2 linked regions of the Arabidopsis thaliana genome follow. The protein of the gene in region 1 interacts with the protein of each later gene in a biochemical or structural test. Each region holds a gene or a part of one and is shown on either strand. Other genes may lie near its edges. The genes, in order: AT4G34090 and ATPC1.

Region 1 (9,924 bases):
CATATGGCTAACAGCACCGAGCTCTTGAATACAATCCCACACCATTTCCATATTTGGTTAAGCAAGACTGAAGTCCTCTTTGACTTGACATGCTCGATAGCATACCTGGCCCCAGATATGGTAGTCCAAAAGGCATATGTGCCAATGACGAAAGCATACAGATCTACATATTTTTAGGGAATACTGTTAATAATGTGTAACCCGTGCCAAAGAATGACTCAGAAGATCAAAATTAACAAACATTACCATTGCACTTGATGCCATGAGTTATTGGAAGAATGGGAATGGCACTGAATAGAGCACGTCCCAGCGAAACTGGCACAACTATCAATGCTGAATTGAAGAGAAGAAGAGTCACCCATGCAACAAGTAGAAGGAGAATTATCCGGACCACAAAGTTGTACCTGCTAAAAATATACATTCATATCAGGGGAAGCCCTAATGGGAGTCTTAAAGTACTTAGTCAACTCTATATACCAAGCGAAAAGTCCTGTTAATTTATTCAAGTATGCCAAAATTCTTAATATCAAACAAGCTATTAGCTTATTTTTAAAGTAAGAACTTACTCAGAATCAGATTGTTCGTCATCATCTTCATATTCCTCACCCGTGTTGACATTCCCAGCACGGAGGCGACTTCTGTTAGGGTCATCAGCTACTGGAAGCGCAGCCATGGCCCTGTCAGGTCCTCCGACCTGCAACACTTGTGCTCTGTTCTGCCTTCCTGGTTCACCATTTCCATTGTCCTGACCAATGTTGTCTTCTGGTCTTGGCAAGAGGAAGTCTGTTAAACCAAGCGCCCAACCAACCCCAGTGAACCAGCAGCGTAGAAGGGACTTAATTGTGGTCCGAAGTCTGAAATGCTCGATGATAAATGGAATGCATATTTGAAACAGAAGCATGTCGGCGGGAATCTCAGTGAATGGGTCGGATACACTGCATATATGCCCAAGTTAGGAAAGACCTAATCAAACACAAAATCTCCAAAAACAAGAGGTTAGTCAATATTTCTTACGATATGTCAAGTGGAAAGATTGAAGGAGCCATCCGGATCGCAAGTTTGACTGGTAAAAATACCAGCATCACAATCAAACTTCCATACACTGCAACTGATAACAGTACCCTCCGAGCATGCTTGTGCACTGGATCATCAATCAAATCTCGGAATGGATTGTAATTAGGATCTGCTGGATCACGAAGGAAATACAGAACTCCAGGACGAAGAACCTGCAATTGGCACAAAGTGAAAAGATATATTTAGATAGCAGCAGCGAAAAAAACTATTTCTAGAATGAAAATGAGTAGGGACAACACAGTACCCCTCGAAGAAGGCTGACGAAGATGCTTATTTGCAACATGTACATGATTCCAACAACCCAATGAACAAGTGAGCTTGCCAGAGGAGAAATTGATAAAAACTGTACCCTGTGGGACATTGTTTTACCGAACATCCTAACAGTGCAAACATCTAGCCACCAACCACACATCAGAGGAAAGACCCCAAGCTCGATGACCAAAAGAAAGGCAACTTTGATCATGGTCATCAGATGCCTCATTGCTGCCAAGAACTGTCTAAGGAGGGATGGTACAGCTTCTACTATAGATGCAATACCATAAAATCTTCCAACAGTCAGTGGCTCACCCTTGGCATATCGAATCAGTGCAATGATCCCAAGGTAAAGGAACACCAGAAATACGATAAACATGTACCCAACAGCCAGAGTTGTAATATCAGAAAGCTTTGAGGCCCCAACAGTAGAACCTTTCAGGAGATCAGTAGCAACTGATAGCGTATTGTTTGCTCCATTCAATTCACTTCCGTTGACTTTCATCATTTCAGTGAGCTGACCAAGCAGCCCATTTCCTTGGCCCTCGCTAGTCAAATTCGAGACAGCAGTCAGCGCACTCTTCAGAGTAATATTTTCCAATGAGAGTCCGGTATCTGTAAGATGCAATGATGCAGCCACAGCAGGGCCTCTAGCAGCAGCAAAAAGCCATGACACGTGATACAATATAATCCGTCCCAAGGTAAAGGGCACGAAGATAACAACACCAAGGAATATCATATTGCTTGCTAGAACCTGCAAAATTATGCACATCATGAAGATTTAATAAGGGCCAATAGTGAAGAAGAAGGAACATAGAATTTAAAATATACATTGCCAAAAAGTAGAAACATCAACTTACAGTAAAGGCATTCTCAACCAAATGAAACACTGGACCTTGCATTCCAACCAGCTCATCAAATGGAACGTCTTCTGCACCATCAGCGTCATCCAACCCATCAAACATCTGTTCAACCTGAGCCTCAAGACGAGCTGCTTGTATGTCCAACCTTGCCAGAACATTTTCAGGATTCCTTCTAGCAATCTGACCAACCGCAGCACCCTGATCCCCAGCATCTTCACCATTCCCCTCTCCAGCAAGATTCCTATTAGCCTGTCCAGCAGGTCTTCTTGCAGCACGAGCACCATTTCTGTCCACATCATCATCTCTCTCTTCTTGTCCCCCAAGCTCTCGTAAGTGCCTAAAGTAGTCCCTTAATGAAGTAGCTCCAAGGAAGATGAAGACAATACTTGCAGATAGTAAGAACCCATGCAAGCAATCAGTGAGAATTACTGTGGTGGAGATGTGGCTTAAGAACAACCTTTGAGCTTCACCAAAAGTTCGCACGAAAGCCAAACGCCATATCCAAAATGTAATGAAAGGTATAGTGAGAAGCCAGACAGAAAGCACAAAACTCAACCGCAGAAAGAACTGTAAAACATGGCAAGCTTTCATAGCAATGCCAACTACAAACTCCTGGAAAGGGAGCCTTGACGGAGCATTGTCAGCATATACTGGGGAGAATGAAAAAGGATGCTTGCAAACCTGCAGAGATGAAATTAACAATAAGCACGTGTTCTCTTCTATGTGGAACTCCTACTTAAGAAACACATATTAAAAGAGAAGACTTTAAACTGTCAACGTTGAATATGAGCACACAGAAATATGCAATTGCCCATTCATTTACCCATATCAAAATTCCTAAAAGGCATTCAAATCAACACGAATCCAGATCTTAATTAGAATACGAATCTTCAAAATCTCAACAATCAAATAATAAAGAGGAAAAGAAACAAAACCTCGCATTGACGAGCGTTGCTGTGATTAAGCCACTGAAGGAGACAATCCTGGTGAACAAATTTGATACTTCCGCTACAGGCACACGGATACCGAAGCGGATTGTCTGCATCACCAGGATTTCTGCAGATCCTGCAAACGTCCTCTTCATCTTCGTCATCATCAACGTACCTCGATCCTGTCGCCGTCGAAACTGCAGGATCCATGTTTGAGAAAGGATTGGGTGATGCCTGATTCGGCGAGGAAGAGGAAGAAGAAGAAGATACGGAAGGCTCGGAGACGACCTCAGAAGCAGCCGCGCCAGAGATGGACAACGAATCGGCCGGGGAAATCTCCATAGAGAAATCCGGGCTATGAATTACGTATTGCGCAGACGGTGGTAACGGAGACGGCAACGGCGGAGCGAGTCGACTCGGTGAGTCTGATAACGCCGAGCTAAGAGGAAAGGCGTCGTCTATCGCGAATAATTATTATCCTCGAGAATTAAAATAGAAAAAGATCGGAAAAAAAATCAAAGACACCGAGAAAATTGATTATATGGTAGGCCTAACCGGGTCTTGTAAACCGGTAGTTGACGAAATTGACCTTCCCTCTTGCACATTTAATGACGGTTTTTGTCGGTTACGCGTCTTTAGTCTTTGTTGGGTTTGGGCCTTAAATTGTAACAGACTAAGCCCATCTCATTTTTTTTTCTTTTTTTTTTGCTGAATCAGAAACAAAATCAATGGCTATCTTTTGCTGCTACTGCTGAATTACGAAAATTCTGTGAGGTTGAGGAAGCAGAGTGAAGAGAAAGATAGAGAGATAAGAAGAAGCCATGGGTTCGATTTCGATGCACATAACTCCCTCTACTGCTCTCCCTATACGCCATTTCAGAGCTAGAGTCTCTTGTTGCTCTTCTGGTAATTTCGTTTTTCCTCCGTTTGTGAGAATTGCATGTGATTGTCGAATTATAGTAATTGTCGATTGTTTGATGGCTTTTCAAATCGAGAAAATGCTTGAGCTTATATCTTTGTTGAGTATTTTAGAACAATCTTTTGTAGGAAAATGCAGTGACTATGACTGTCTTTTTGATTATTCTTGGTGGAGACAACAAATTAACAAAAGAATGTGTAATAATTCTTCCAAAGAGACACATTGGGATTGACTTAAGATTAGCGTTGTTGTGTAGGGCATGTATCATTTATCAAAGATGTTGCTGCCACTGAACCTCCAATGCATCTTCATCACTTACTCAAAGTGCTTCAAACAAGAGGTAAAATAATGCTCAATTTTGTTCCTCATTTATGTCCAAACTTATGTATTCGTTTCTTTTCATCACTTATTCTGGATTTGTAATAATGGAGAAAGGGAAACTTATGGTTCTTAAAGTCTCAGTTGCTTCATATATCTTCTGCAGGTGAGACAATCATATCTCCTGGAGCTAAGCAGGGACTGATCCCTCTTGCTATTCCGCTTTCGAAGAATTCGTCAGGTAAGACCACACTTTCGATAGAATCCATTAGCTTTTTCCAGGAGCTTGTCTTTAGTTTTGTTTTTCTGGTTTTTTTTTTTGTCTAAGTAGGCTCTGTTACTGCGCTTTTGAGATGGCCTACTGCTCCACCAGGGTAAGAGATTTGGATCTCTTTCTTGGTAACTCTTGCAGTAGTAAAAATATGTTGTTGGGTTATTCTTGGTTTTTAACTTTTTTGTATTCGAGAACAGAATGGATATGCCGGTTGTGGAAGTTTGGAGGAGTGGAGTCAGGCTTATAGCTAGAAATGTAAAGACTTCTCATTCTGTTTATACGTAGCTTATCCTTTTAAGAGGATTTATGTCTTTTTTGTGTTACCAAGAAACAATCTTACATTTTTTGATATTCAGGTAGATGAATACATTCACCGGATTCTAGTTGAAGAAGATGCACAAGAGTTGACAGAACTATATCGTGCTTCGGGAGAGGCAGGTGAAAAACTTTACGAAAAGGGTGCTTTTGCTGAATCTGAAATTGACAATCTCGATGTCTATGTTTTGAAAAAGGCAAGACTGAAAAACTCATGACTTATAGATAAAAGGTTATGTACACCACAATAAACAGTATTTGCTTTTGTTTTGTATCGTCTAGGTTGGACTGTTTCCAGATTTGTTGGAGCGGAAAGTATTACGGCATTTTGATGAAGGAGATCATGTAAGACATTTGACGCATATGATATGACATTCTATTATCATGAATCTCTCTTCTGTGACACTTTTTCAGGACATTTTCTTCTTTTTGTCTATGGAAGGTTTCAGCTATGGTGACAGGAGAATTTTACACAAAGAAAGACCTCTTTCCAGGATTTGGACGACCTTTTGTATATTATGCAAACATACTACAGAAGTTTGTAAACTTTACATACCTAAAACATATCTCCATTTTATTTTCGTAGAGAAAGATGTAGCCACTTATCTTCAGATTCTTATTCGCAGGGTAGGGCGGAATGTAGAAGCAAAAGATGCGGCTAGGGTAGCATTGAGATCACCGTGGTGGACATTAGGATGTCCGTATGAGGTATGACAAAAGTTTTTTTGTTCTTCTTTTTCGGTTGTACTGAGTTTTAAAGCATAGAGACATATTCATGGTCATGGTATCTTGAAAACATGCAGGAGGTTGCTAGTATAGCACAATGGGAAGACGAGCAGATCGAATTCATAAGGGAAAAAGTGAGTGATGAAGGTCGTTTTGAAGATTTGCATAAAGGCAAAGCTCCAATCCAAGTTGCGTTGGATGTTGCGGCTTTTCTCTTGGATTTGGCTTCTATCGAAGGAACTTGGTCCGAATCTTTAAACCATATTGCTAAATGTTATGAGGAAGCTGGATTACACCATATCTCTAATTTCGTTTTGTACACAGATTGAATCCATATTAATGTATGTTCTTCACAACACTTTCCATGTATGAATCAGAGAACTCACTACCCTTTTTCACTTGGAAGATCTTTGCAGCTGGATCAAAAGAGTAAGCAAGCTTGTGCAAGATCCATATCGACTTTGCAAGTTTTAAGAAGGCCTGGTAAAATGCAGTCCTCGGGTGGCCACCTCCTGTCACGTAGTCACGCTGGTCTAGATTTCCAAAGAAAGAAGCTTCCATCTTTGGGTGGACTAAGAGGAGCTACTTGCTCCTGCAGAATATACCAAAGTTGGAATCAGGGTTTGTACCTAGAGCATCTAGTGGATCCATGTCCTTGAGAGCAAGAAACTGGCGGAAAAAGGTGTCTGTGTCATCATCGGCCATAACCGTAGCACTCTCTGAGTTTACTGAGAAGTTCTTCTGCTGAAACCCACTGAACATCCTTTGGCATATGTATGATTCAAATGCATATTCCTTGTGAGGCCTCTTGGCGTAAACAACATCAGGCTCAATAGAATTGGCTGCAGTATCAAGATCCCATCCTGCTGCTTTCATCATGTTGATTAGCGGCTTGGAGAAATCATGCACAACTTTAGCAGCAGCTTCGTAAGTAGATACAAAGAGTTCAGTAGTCAAGTCAGGAAACTGTAAATTTCCATCTCCACCAGAACCTTGGTTTGTAGACATTCCTCTTAACTTAAGATTCTTCTCAAGCTTAAGCCGTTTCTGGTTTGCTTCCTCAATCTTCTGCAGCATCTGCGTGATCTCGGAATCCTTGTTCTGAATCTCAGACTGAAACTTCTTCACCATGACCTCATAAGTCTTCAACAAACTCTGCTGCTCTTGAATCTCTGCAGCTAAACGAGAGTCTTGTGGAGAGACACATACAGGCTTGGGGTTATTCTCTCTGTAAAAATGCTTCATTTCGGAAAGATTCTTGAGTTCAGAAATGACAACTTTGTCCGCTGCCTGAATCTTCTCGGGATCGTAAGGAGTATGAGCACTTTGAAGCTCGATATAAGCAGATTTCAAAGACGAGATGTTTCCAAAGAGATTGGAGATAAGTGCTTCCATAGCTTCAGGATTTTGATTGATAGACTCTTCCATTGGTTGAGGATGGATTATGTATGTGTTTCATGTTTGGATCATAAAAATATAAGAGACAGTGAAATCAGCATTATGCATGTCACCAACAGAAAGTAAATAAGAGTATCAAATACTATAACAAGTACCTACAAATTTGCAAAAGAACGATCCAACTTGCAAAAAAGGTTCTTAAATTCGAAAAACTATTGTCGCTTGGGGGAAAACAATGATAACCAAGAACTCATAGTCCCTAAAGTCAGCAAAGCTTTATTTATATAAGACCTTTCCTTGCGCCTTAAACCACTGGTTTCAGCCTTTGAGCTTTCAGAACCTGCCAGGTCAATGAGGTTCTGCAGATATATGTGAAAGTGAAATTATGGTCCGTTGTTCATCTTTAAGTGTTCAGACAGTGCAATAATAAACAGTTTGTCAGAGTTAATGAAACAGTAAGCTATTACCGAACATAAAATCACTTGATAAAAAGAAAAGATGTTATAGCAGCTCCACTTTCATTATTGTCAACCAATGTATTGACCATGGGTGTCATAAGAGAAAAGTTCTACTAGGTTGCAAAGTGTGTAAAGCAGAGAACTAACCTAAAGAATGCAACTATAAGCTAACTACAGTAAAAGTAAAGGCTTTATAGGGTCAACAGAACGACACTAGCTACATGCATAATGTGAGTTTGATTTCCTGTCTGGGACCTCACTCAAGCATAAACCAATGTTAACAATCCACAGAACAAACATATCAAACAAAGTGACTATGACATTTTCTTTGGAATGCAGAGCCTTAAGGTGGTACCTTTCCTGTATAATGTAACTGTGGCTTGCTATGGCTATCCACATATGTCTTTGGATAAAGTTTTGAAGACGAGGTTGTTGAAAATACAAGGGAATCACAAAGGCTTTAACTTGCTTAATCCAGCATTTGTAGACTTTGATATTTGTTTAGATCTTATCACAAAGGAAATTCCAACTTTCGGTGACTGAAAAAAAAGATGCAAGTACAAAACTTTATCAAATAATAAGAGCTAGCAACAAGTATACTATTGCACTTTTTTTGAGTTTTTAAGCCAATCAGAAGGCTATATTTCGTACCCACTCGCAGAAAGAGCGCGTTGAGCGAGTGAGGGCGATTCTGTGGGTAAACCCCTTTCCAATTCATGACTTTTTTAATCGACGCACATCTCTCCAAATTCTCCATCGCGTGACTCTTTTAGTTATTTTCAACAAAACCAATGAAACCGAACCGAAATCAGTTTTAATTTCAAAACCAATACAAACCAAACCGAATCAGCAAATAGTGTGAGGCAACAATTCTGGACAGAAAATTTATCAACATCTCAACAACGGAAAAAAGAGAAAACACCACAACTCAAAATCATAAATCATAGAAAAATATCCAAAAAAATCACAGTAGCCTTTGATTAAACTTTCAAATTGCAAAATCTCAGAATCAAAGCCAAGAAGAATCCTGAAGATTTCTACTTCCATGGCATCCAATAGAGGAAGAAGAACAATCTACTGCTTCAATTAAACATGAAAAACGATTCAGAGAGCTTAGCTTTACTAGTTTCAGTAAAATTTCTCGGCAACAAAGTCAAAACAGACATGAACACATAAAAAAAGATACTAAAACAGAACTGTATATTCGACAAGAACAAGAACGAATTGCAATAATTAAACAGATTAGACTCACCAGTGGAAATCTAAAAGCATGAATCTAGTTGTGAGCTCTTCGTGTTTGCCCCCCTTTATTTTCTGTTCTTTGTGTGATTTCAACTCACAACTTTTATATTTTACTCTGCTGCTTCGAGATCAACGCATTAAAAGTAATGGAGTACATTAAGAATATTTCGATTTTAAGGGGTTGAAGTTGTAATTTTGAAGAAGTGGAAGATCAATCAAAAATAATAGAAGAACAGAGACGACGAAACCTGCCGGAGAACTGAGGGGAGAAAAAAACCCGGCGAAAAAGGGAAATTCGAATTCGTCTTCTGTTGATCATTGCTTCACTTCTGCTTCCAGGTCTTCATCGGAACCAATCTCACTTTCACTCTCTAATTTCTAAATTGAAAATCGATCTTATCAATTGTGTGTTTGTGTTTTATTGCAGAGCTTTTACTCAGAAGAAGCTCGCTGATCTCAAATCTCTCTTTTTTTCCCTCGCTTCCAAGTCTCAGAGCAATGACCAATACGTCTCGTACCCTGTTTTCCAGGTTTTGACAAAAAAAAAATTGTGTTCTGTTGTCATCTGGTTTTTGTGGTTGATAATTTTGAATTAAGCCTTACACGATGTGTGTCGGATTTCGATTTTCACAGGAGTATTTTGGTCTGAGTGGTTCTTTAGGAGAAAGGATCTTTGATATGGTTACTCAACACAGGAAAGATGATAAAATGACTTTTGAAGATCTTGTTATTGCTAAGGTATACTCAAGTCTTTTTATCCTCTTAATCATTTGGTTTCTTCTTCTGAGCTTTTGAAGATCTTAAAATGCAGAGTTCAATAGGATTAGCAGTTCTAGGACTCGATATAGAATTTGAGAGATTCGATTGTGTTCAACTCAATTCCTGTTGCTTTTTAGGCAACATACGAGAAAGGAACTGATGATGAGATTGCTGAGTTTATTTACCAGACTTTGGATGTTAATGGCAATGGGGTCTTGAGAAGGTATCCATCTTGTGGCTTCAAGTTGCTTCTGTTATCCAAGTTTCATTACCTGTTTTGTTGTATGTCCATTACTGGTCTCTTGATCCACTTAACATATTTGGATAGAAAATGAATTGAGATTGTTAGATTAGATGGGGTTATTCTCTGAATGTGACACATTCTAGTATGTCTTCA
Region 2 (9,299 bases), about 14 Mb from region 1:
AAGATGCTAACTAGGAAATATGGATTAGAAGAGTCTGAAAATGTTTACCTTGAGGAATCTGTTGCCATGTTTCTCGAGGTGGTTGGCTAGGATAAGACTGTTCGAGATATTGCTGCAAGATATCAACGGTCATTGGATACAGTGAAAAGAAAGATTGATGATGTTCTGAGTGCTCTATTAAAGTTTGCAGCGGATACATTAAAGCCACAAGAAGGTGAGTTTACAAGAGTAAACCCTGTTTTGAAGAATGATGATCGATATTGGCCTTTTTTTAGAGATTGTGTTGGAGCACTTGATGGAACTCATGTCCCGGTTCGCCCTCCAAGTCAAACTGCAGAAAAATATAAAGGTAGAAAGCTAGAACCTACAATGAATGTTCTTGCTATATGTAATTTCGATATGAAATTCATATATGCATATGTCGGTGTACCTGGTAGAGCACATGATACAAAGGTTTTGAATTATTGTGCGACGAATGAACCTATTTCCCACATCCGCCTAATGGGAAGTATTATCTTGTTGACTTCGGATATCCCACCAGGACTGGGTATCTTGGTCCACATCGTAGGATGCGATATCATCTTGGTCAGTTTGGTAGAGGAGGACCACCAGTAACTGCACGAGAGTTGTTCAACCGAAAGCATTCAGGTTTGCGATCTGTGATTGAGAGGACATTTGGAGTATGAAAAGCAAAATGGAGGATTTTAGATCGTAAGCATCCAAAATATGGTCTGACTAAGTGGATAAAGATTGTAACAGCGACAATGGCACTACACAATTTTATAAGGGATTCACATCGGGAAGATCATGATTTTTTATAGTGGCAAAGCATAGAAGAATATCATGTTGATGATGAAGAAGAAGAAGAAGAAGAAGAAGGAGAAGAAGAAGAAGGAGAGGGAGAAGAAGAAGAAGAAGAAGAAGAAGAAGGAGAAGAAGAAGAAGGAGAAGAACATGTTGCATATAAGCCTATTGGTGACAGAGCGATGGAAGCTTTACGTAACAACATCACGAACGAATGTAATAAAGGTCGCTTACCTTATTAGATATGTTTTTTTTAGTGACTTGGTTTATTATTTTAGTTAACGATTTTGTCTATCTTTTTTGCTTATAACTTGGTGTACTACTTTATTGTTATAATTATGCTTATGATTTTTCACAAATTTTTATCGTTATAATTACAAAAGAAAACTAAAAATTATAACTAGTTAAATAAAAAATGTTATGGATGTAACTATATTTAGATTACATTTTTTTTATTCAAATATAATTATAATACAAATTTATATTAAGAAAATAAGAATTAAGTTAAAACTAACGCAGCGGCGGCGAAACGAACATAGATACTTGCGGCAGCGGCAGCGTCGGCGGCATCCAAACGAACATAAATGTTGCGTCAGCGGCAGTGGCGACGAAACGAATAACAATCTGCGGTAGAGTTTCCCGCTGCCGCTGCCGCCTGCGGTGAACAAACAAACAAACTAAATAATGTCTTGTTGGATATGCAATTGAAGAAGATAGGAAACAAAATTCTTAACTTTTTTTTTTGTGTTTTTTAGATACATGGTAATTCGATGGCAACACTACAAGTTCCAAGTGACGACGTGAGGTTTTTTTTTTATAGGTTGGAGCTCGGTTTTACAGCACCAACGGAGCTCCCACGTCCCCTTCTTCAGTTGATTGAGGTAAGCGTTAATACGCCATAATTGAGGCTCTCAAAAATTGGACGTACGTATAGTTGCGGGGACACGAGTAGCGATACTTGGGTTTCACGGAACTGCAAAGTCTAGTCTTTTGAATGTTCTTGCGGGAGATTTAGTTACTGTTTTGAATGTTCTTGCGGGAGATTTAGTTACTGTGGGTGAAGTGAGAATAAGCCAGAACCTGAGGATCGGAAGGTACTCTTTTGTGGAGAAGCCCACTTGGATATATTCTTCCTAGATCTTTATCCTCCTCACCCAAGACCAAAGGAAATATATTAAACTTGATGCGGTGCGTTTGAAACTGATCAGGTTTGGTCTCCCAAGTCAACACCATTACACTTCATTTTCACGATTGTTTGAAGGACAAAAGGCTAAGGTTGTGTTAGCCTCCATCTCAATGTCCAACCCACACATTTTGCTTTGTTGACGAGCCAACTAATCACTTGGACAAGCCAACTATAACTGCCTTGGGGAATTCACTAAGTTGGTTCAAAGGAGCAGCTGTGTTGGTTAGTCACGACTCGAGACTTGTATCTTCCGATGTACATTTAAAGACTACCAAATCCAGTCAGAGGTATTCAAAAAAGTCTTATGAAATCTTGAAAGATGGGGTGAACAAAAGGATTCAATGTTGTCCCTAACTAAGATCCTTAGTCATAACAACAATGGAAAAGGATTCACAACTAACAACCAAAGAAACCAAAATCTTATTCCTCCAAAGGATCCTACAAAAACTCTTCATCATCCACAAATATTCAACGAAGATCTCCATCATTTTATCCAATGAAAAGCCAAAATAGATACAACCGCGTTTTTGTTTGTAATTGCATGATTATAAAGAGTTCTAGAGATTATCAATTATACATTATACAAACGATAACGAAAAAAAAAGAAGAAGAAGAGAGTTTTGGACTCATATAGAAGATTCAAAGAGGGTTCAAAACAAATCAAACCTGTGCATTAGCTCCAGCAACAATCTCAAGAATCTCTCCAGTAATCTTAGCTTGACGCTTTCTATTATACACCATCGAAAGCGATTTCTTGAGATCCGATGCATTATCCGAAGCACTACTCATTGCACTCATTCTAGCTGCAAGCTCACTAGCCAATGACTCCTGTAATGCCCTAAGAATCTGACTGTTAAGATACAGAGGCAACAAAGCATCAAGAATCTGAACAGGGTCTTGCTCGAATTGCAAGATCGGCGAGAAATCAGCTGTTGGTGTCCTAAAAGTCTCTCTTTCAACTGTCAATTTCCCTTCTTTTGTCGTTAACCTGAAAAACTCATCTTCCGCAGCATCCACACAGGTTCCATTAATGTCACAGATCTCTCCTTTAGGTGATAAAGGCAGTAGCGTGTGGATCACGGGTTCTGATTTGACCAAAGAGACAAACTTTGTGTACAAGAGCTCGACTTTGTCGACTTCTTCACTTATAAACAGAGAGAAGACATCATCAGCCACAGCTTGAGCTTCTTTAGCCGTAGGTAAAGTTCCGGCTTCTAGGTATTTGTCGACGGGGATGTACGGGCGACGGAGGAAATAAGAATTTCCCTTCTTGCCCACGCTAATGACTGTGTATTCAAGACCTAGACCTTTAAGCTCTTTGATTCTTGCCTCTGCTTTCTTAATGATGAAATTGTTGAATCCACCACATAATCCACGATCACCGGTGACGACAACGAGAGCTACTTTCTTAACCGGTCTGACTTTGGTTAAGGGAACATCGACATCATCGGTTTGAAGCTGTTCGTTGATGTTGTAAAGAACTTCAACTAGGGTTTCTGAGAATGGTCGTCCATTGACAACAGCTTCTTGAGCTCTCCTGACTTTAGCTGCAGCGACAAGCTTCATAGCTTCGGTGATCTTTTGAGTGTTTTTGACTGAATCGATACGGTCTCTGAGCTCACGAAGAGACGCTTGGAGTGGTGAAACAGAGGAAGCTCGTGAAGGAGGTGAGGAAGTGTTAGTTGGGCACTTGAGAACAGATCGGAATGATAAGGAAGATGAATCAGCAGAAAGAGATGGTTTTGATGAAACCCACATTGTTGTTAGATTAGAGCAAGCCATTTTTTTGTTGTTTGTTTCAGACAGTGTTTTGCTCTAACCTTATCTCTCTGTTCTTTTGATTGTATTGTATTGAAGAAGAAGAAAGAAGAGAGGAGAGATTTGAGTGGAGGGAAGAGAAGGTGATGAGATTAGGTTTGGAGATAAGGTTTTACATTTGCTATTTGGAGTCTGCAAATTGTGGGATCCTCTTTTTGTTGACGTGGCGTTGTATTAGTGGATGGTTCGATATCTTCAATGTTTTTTTTTTTTGGGGTGTGTGGTATATATCTTACTTCTTTGTAATTGTTTATCAGCCAACCAATAATTGCTTTTTTATTTTATGAGTTTTGACCCCAAAGAGAGAAAATATCTGACAAAGGATAGAAATTAGAGTAATTAGGTTTGGTTTAATTTCTTTGGTATGGTTTTGGTCCATTAGTATATATATATACCAATCAAATTACCTTACAATAGACTTAAAATGATATATATATATATATATATATATATATATATATAATTTGTAATCTGGTTTGATTTGTTAATTGCTTTTTTATTTTATGAGTTTTTGACCCCAACGAGAGAAAATATCTGACAAAGGATAGAAATTAGAGTAATTAGGTTTGGTTTAATTTCTTTGGTATGGTTTTGGTCCATTAGTATATATATATACCAATCAAATTACCTTACAAGAGACTTAAAATGATATATATATATATGTATATATATATATTTTTTAATCTGGTTTAATTTGTTAATTGCTTCAATTTTCTCCAAAATTTTTTTGATAAGCAAAACTTTATAGAGAAAAACAAATATTTGGTTATAACGAAAAAATCATATAGTGTAACAACTAACAACAATGGTTTCATTTGTTAATTGCTTCGATTTATTCCAAAAATTCCGATAAAATAATTCTACAGATCAAAACAAATATTAAAAACTAATATTTGGTTAGAAATTAGAACGAAATAATAAACATATAATAAGAATTAACTAAATTATAGATATAAAAATTTATAAAATTTTATTCATTAAATTAATTATAAGATGTTTATATATTAAAATCAATAAAATATTAATTTTATCATGAAAATTGTAGTTTTCTTTTTGGTTAAAATTATATATTATTGTATCTTCAACTACATCCGGATACATATTTTGGAATATGCTTATTGTTACAAGAACATACCGAAATCACACAGAAACCACAAAAATTCCCAACCTCTTGCTATAAACAAGTTCTTAGTTTTATTTGTTTTGTTTTATTTTCATCACCAAACATATTATTACGTACGCTCAGTTTCTCATGGATTTGTACAAACTAATATCATCTTTATTAATCACCAACAATCTAGTGACATTCTATTCATCTCTTAAGGATCAAATCGACCTATGAATCTTTGATGCTTACATGAAGTAAAGCTCATTATTCTTTCCGTCAATTATTGCATACTCGTCCACCATTTCAAATAATAGAACATTAAGGATGCTGAACATGTTGAGTCATACACCTTATTGGATTTAGGGTTATAGTAACAATCTATGTAAAATCTGCACCGTATTAATATGAACTCGTTGCTCGAGTTATAAAAGCCCAACCAAACAAAGATTACACATCACACCAGAACTGACTTTAAAATGAGTTGACCACCCTAAGTACAATGAAGATTATGATCCATCAAATTCAACATTTTCAGTTGCCTAAAAGAGGTAGATCCTTAGTGGAAAGGCAATACAAATTGCTACTCATATGTAATATGCAAGAAATGAGTAAGTTCTTTTAAGGGTTTGATTATTTTATTTTCTTTCTTTTTTATTTCTTTGAAATGGAATGATGATAATGCAACTTTCAAAATATATAAGACTTCTTTTAGGTCACAAAATTTGATGTTAGTATTTAGGTCACAAAATCGGCACCATCCACGCAATTTGTGTCAAGTCGATTATGAAATGAATCAAAACCGTGCCTAACCAGAATGTCCTGAATCGAAATCCAAAATGCAAATACCTTACTTAGACAACAAAACATTGATGTATCAATATATCTAAAACAACAATAGCTATTGAAAGGGGGGGGGGGGGTGGTGGTGGTGGTATTTATGTAAGGTACGAGCCCTCTCCATGTCAGATCCAAAATAGCGCCAAACTCAAAAAAACAATCCCGAAACTATAGATATCAGTCTTTTCATTAAAGTTATCCAATTTAACTTCAATTTCGGGTGCTTTATAGACGGTTATTTCTGGTTCACTATAGCTACCAACTTTTTGGGCATCTTCCACCATTTTTTTTTTTTTTTTTTTTAGTTCATAAATTTCCATTCAACTTTAAAACATACAATGGCAAAAGCCCAAATAAAGGCCACATGCCCAACACAGGAGAAAACAAACCTTTTCCTGCAACAAACAAAAGGGGAGACGAAACCTGCAACACTAGAAAACCAAAACAAACAGCCCTGAACTAGAACAACGAAAACCAAGTTCCTAGCAAGGACAAAGCGTTAGGTTGATGAGCCGTGCTGCGAGACAAAGGATCCAGACGAGCGCGAATGATGAGCTGGATGTCCTTCAAGATAGACTCAGTAGAACGAGAGACGCCGGAGTGGAGACGTTGGTTTCTTTCTCTCCAAATTGCATAAACACAAGAGTGAAAGGCCAGCCTGATAATGAGACAAATATTTTTTTCCCTTGAGGGAGATAAGAGCCAGTTAAGACAGTCCATTAATTGGGCAGGAGGATTAAGGTTGGTTGAGGCTGTAAAAAACCTCCACACGACACCACTAAACTGGCACTCAAAGAAGAGATGTGCTCTCGAATCGTCATGAGCATTGCAAAGAAGACACTCAGCAGGGATCGAGAGACCCCAATTCTGAAGCCTATCCCTTGTGTGCAATCTATTCCACGCCACAACCCAACAAATGAAGGCGTGCTTAGGAACATGGTTCTTAAACCAGACCGCCTTATGCCAGGGGACGGTGTGAGATTGCGGATGCAGAGCAGACCAAGTTCTTGGAGCGGAGAATCTGTTTGATGGTGCATGAAGGTCCGTTTTCCAAAGAAAGGAGTCGTCATGCTGACAGTCAAGCAAACCCTGAGCCTCCGGGAGAAGATTTTTAAGCTGAACAATGATTGGATTCCTGCTACGGCTTGATGCAATCCACCAAGACGTGCCCCTTAACGCATCCCTAACCACAGCATCAATAGGCAAACCAACTGTACGAGGGCCTAGAGGACCGATTACCTCTATAAGGGGGCCAAGGCCAATCCAATTATCATGCCAAAACTTAGCGGTGACCCCGGAACCAACCTCACAAACAATAAAGGGCCTTGCCACAACTCTGAGCTTACACATCTTCCACCATCTTGGATATCATTTCAACACCTTCAAGGACATCTTCGTCCTCTACATGAGAGGAAAGGTTCTTCACATAAGTGGAGTCGAATCCTGTAATTGTGGAGTTAAAATAGAAAATAAGACAAATAATGAAGTAGTTCATTAAAGAGTTTTATTAAAATGCGAGGAACCAAAAAGAAAAAATTTATATTTGTTTTAGTTCATAAAAGATTGAATGTGGCTGCACCAATAATCAGCTTTGGCTACATTAATTTACACAACATATATATGGACTTATATATATGAACCCATATATATATATTTATATATATGAACCCATATATATATATTTATATATATGAAAAACTCTTATTATAAAACCTAATAACATTGATTTAGATGGACTACACTAATGATAATATCTTGGGTTTTTATGTGTGCTCTTATACTATTGTCGATTGTATGATTTATTCTTCATCGGATCTAAAGCAATACTCAAAAAGGTTTATGTGTGCTCACTCAAAACCTTAACTAGGGGTTCAACAAAACAAAACAAAAAAACTCAAAGGAGATGGATTTCGAGTTGAGAAAACTTTCAAGAACATTTTCAAACTCTAGAAAAAAGGAAAGCTTCATTCTATGAATGGAGTTAAATAGAAAATAAGACATGAAATAAAGTGATTCATTAAAAAGTTTTTTTTTTCTCATAAGTGTTATACTTTATTTTAAAACTTGTGTTGTAAAGATACAACTGTGGAACCTTCCACTTACAAATCTTGACAGTTGACACATATTAAATCTTACAACGTTGGATCAACTAAAGTATAGTCATCCATGTTGCATAAAAACAAACAAGTCTAGCTTATAAGCAGATGCCCATAAAGAAAGCCCAGTCCAGGAAACAAAACCCTTAGAGAAAGTAAATTTAAAGATTGCCTTCCACCCAAAAGCCACGTGTGATGTGAAGAAACAAAGTTGAAACACGTGGACTGAAGAAGCCTTAGTCGTCGCTGTTCATCGCCGAACTGGTTAGCAACTCAGAGAACTCCAAAACCATGGAAACCGCCAGAGCTTCAAGAGAAGTCTATCAATTTTTAATTAGAGAACCCCACCAAACTTCATCAGCAAATCAGGAAAGGAAAGATCTACCAAAGGCAATTGACTCCCGAAATCCAAGGAACATCGACGTAGAGTAAGTCTTTGAGCTTTCAACAACACCTAAAAACAAACAAAAAAGCACTCGTCTCCATAAAACGGTTAGAGAAATAGCCACAATTGCATTAGATTCAACCGAGAGGCGTAAAAAACTTTAATCTGCAACTCAATTTGTTCCTAAAAAATTGAAATCGATAAGCTTGGAAAACAAATCGAGCCCTTTAAACAAAGGAGGTTCAAGGAATTATATTCCAAATGGAAACACAAAAGACCTCAATCAAACCAAATATAAAGAAATCGAGAGATGAAAACATAAATCTAAACCGGAAATCAATTTGGCCAAAAGCTAGACGAGACACCGAAGATAGGCGGTGAAACTCTGGACCTTAGCTAGCCCACCGCCGCTAAAGAAGCCAACGGAAGCCAGACGCAAGCAGACCACCGCCGTAAAAAACCGGACAGTGTCAGAACGAAAACAGATCAAACGTTGCCCAAAACGTCGCTGGACAAAAGCCAGACATCCATACTGAAAAAGCCATAAATTCTGGACAGAAAACCGGCCAACAAACGTTGAAGAAGCGATTATTGTCGGAAAAAGAAGATCCAGTGCTTCCTCTCTCTAAAAGATGCTGATGAGAGAAGAGAGAGAACCACCAAGATTTATTTAAATGCAAGGAACAAAAAAATGTTTGCCTTCAAGGATAAAATAGATATAGATTTAATCTCTTTAAATTTAATCTTCGTCAATAAATTTGCTTCATGAGTTAACGCGATCAAACTAAAAAAATCTTTGTTCTCTCACTTAGCAGCTCATTTTAGAAATTCTCATCGCCGTTCGTTTGCCGTCCCGTTTCTGTTGGGCTTAAGAACTTCTCCTCTGTAGTATATCATTATACTTGAGCGGAGCCCTTGTCCGAAGAATTACCAGTTTTTTGTTGGAGTTCTGATTCAGTTGGATTTCATTTGCTACTTTCAAAAGTTGGTTTGCTGTTTCAATTAGGCTCGATTCTCTGTGAATTGATTGCGCTTGGTTTCTTATCGAAGTTGATTCAAGTGGAT

What was found.
Region 2: the proteins of AT4G34090 (region 1) and ATPC1 form a complex in vitro, tested with the Arabidopsis thaliana proteins (one study listed by BioGRID).

Annotation. Positions count from the first base shown.
Region 1 is NC_003075.7:16,324,126-16,334,049, reverse strand, and holds AT4G34090 (cyclin delta-3), read left to right. Parts: upstream 1-3,834; 5' UTR 3,835-3,939; coding exon 3,940-4,186; intron 4,187-4,293; coding exon 4,294-4,377; intron 4,378-4,521; coding exon 4,522-4,596; intron 4,597-4,686; coding exon 4,687-4,729; intron 4,730-4,826; coding exon 4,827-4,884; intron 4,885-4,985; coding exon 4,986-5,141; intron 5,142-5,226; coding exon 5,227-5,289; intron 5,290-5,386; coding exon 5,387-5,485; coding exon of another isoform or gene 5,486-5,530; intron 5,531-5,556; coding exon 5,557-5,652; intron 5,653-5,747; coding exon 5,748-5,999; 3' UTR 6,000-6,119; downstream 6,120-9,924. Other genes in the region: CER9 (RING/U-box superfamily protein), read right to left, coding at 1-163, 247-407, 567-935, 1,015-1,226, 1,319-2,080, 2,187-2,870, 3,125-3,460; AT4G34080 (myosin-4 protein (DUF641)), read right to left, coding at 6,253-7,098; AT4G34070 (Calcium-binding EF-hand family protein), read left to right, coding at 8,797-8,849, 8,970-9,107, 9,196-9,298, 9,402-9,506, 9,665-9,750. UniProt on the Arabidopsis thaliana protein: Involved in the assembly of the F(1) ATP synthase in chloroplast thylakoid membranes. Functions downstream of the CPN60 chaperones to promote assembly of the catalytically active core of the chloroplast ATP synthase.
Region 2 is NC_003075.7:2,348,111-2,357,409, forward strand, and holds ATPC1 (ATPase, F1 complex, gamma subunit protein), read right to left. Parts: upstream 3,909-9,299; 5' UTR 3,773-3,908; coding exon 2,651-3,772; 3' UTR 2,388-2,650; downstream 1-2,387. Other genes in the region: AT4G04650 (RNA-directed DNA polymerase (reverse transcriptase)-related family protein), read right to left, coding at 5,879-6,002, 6,229-7,103. UniProt on the Arabidopsis thaliana protein: Produces ATP from ADP in the presence of a proton gradient across the membrane. The gamma chain is believed to be important in regulating ATPase activity and the flow of protons through the CF(0) complex.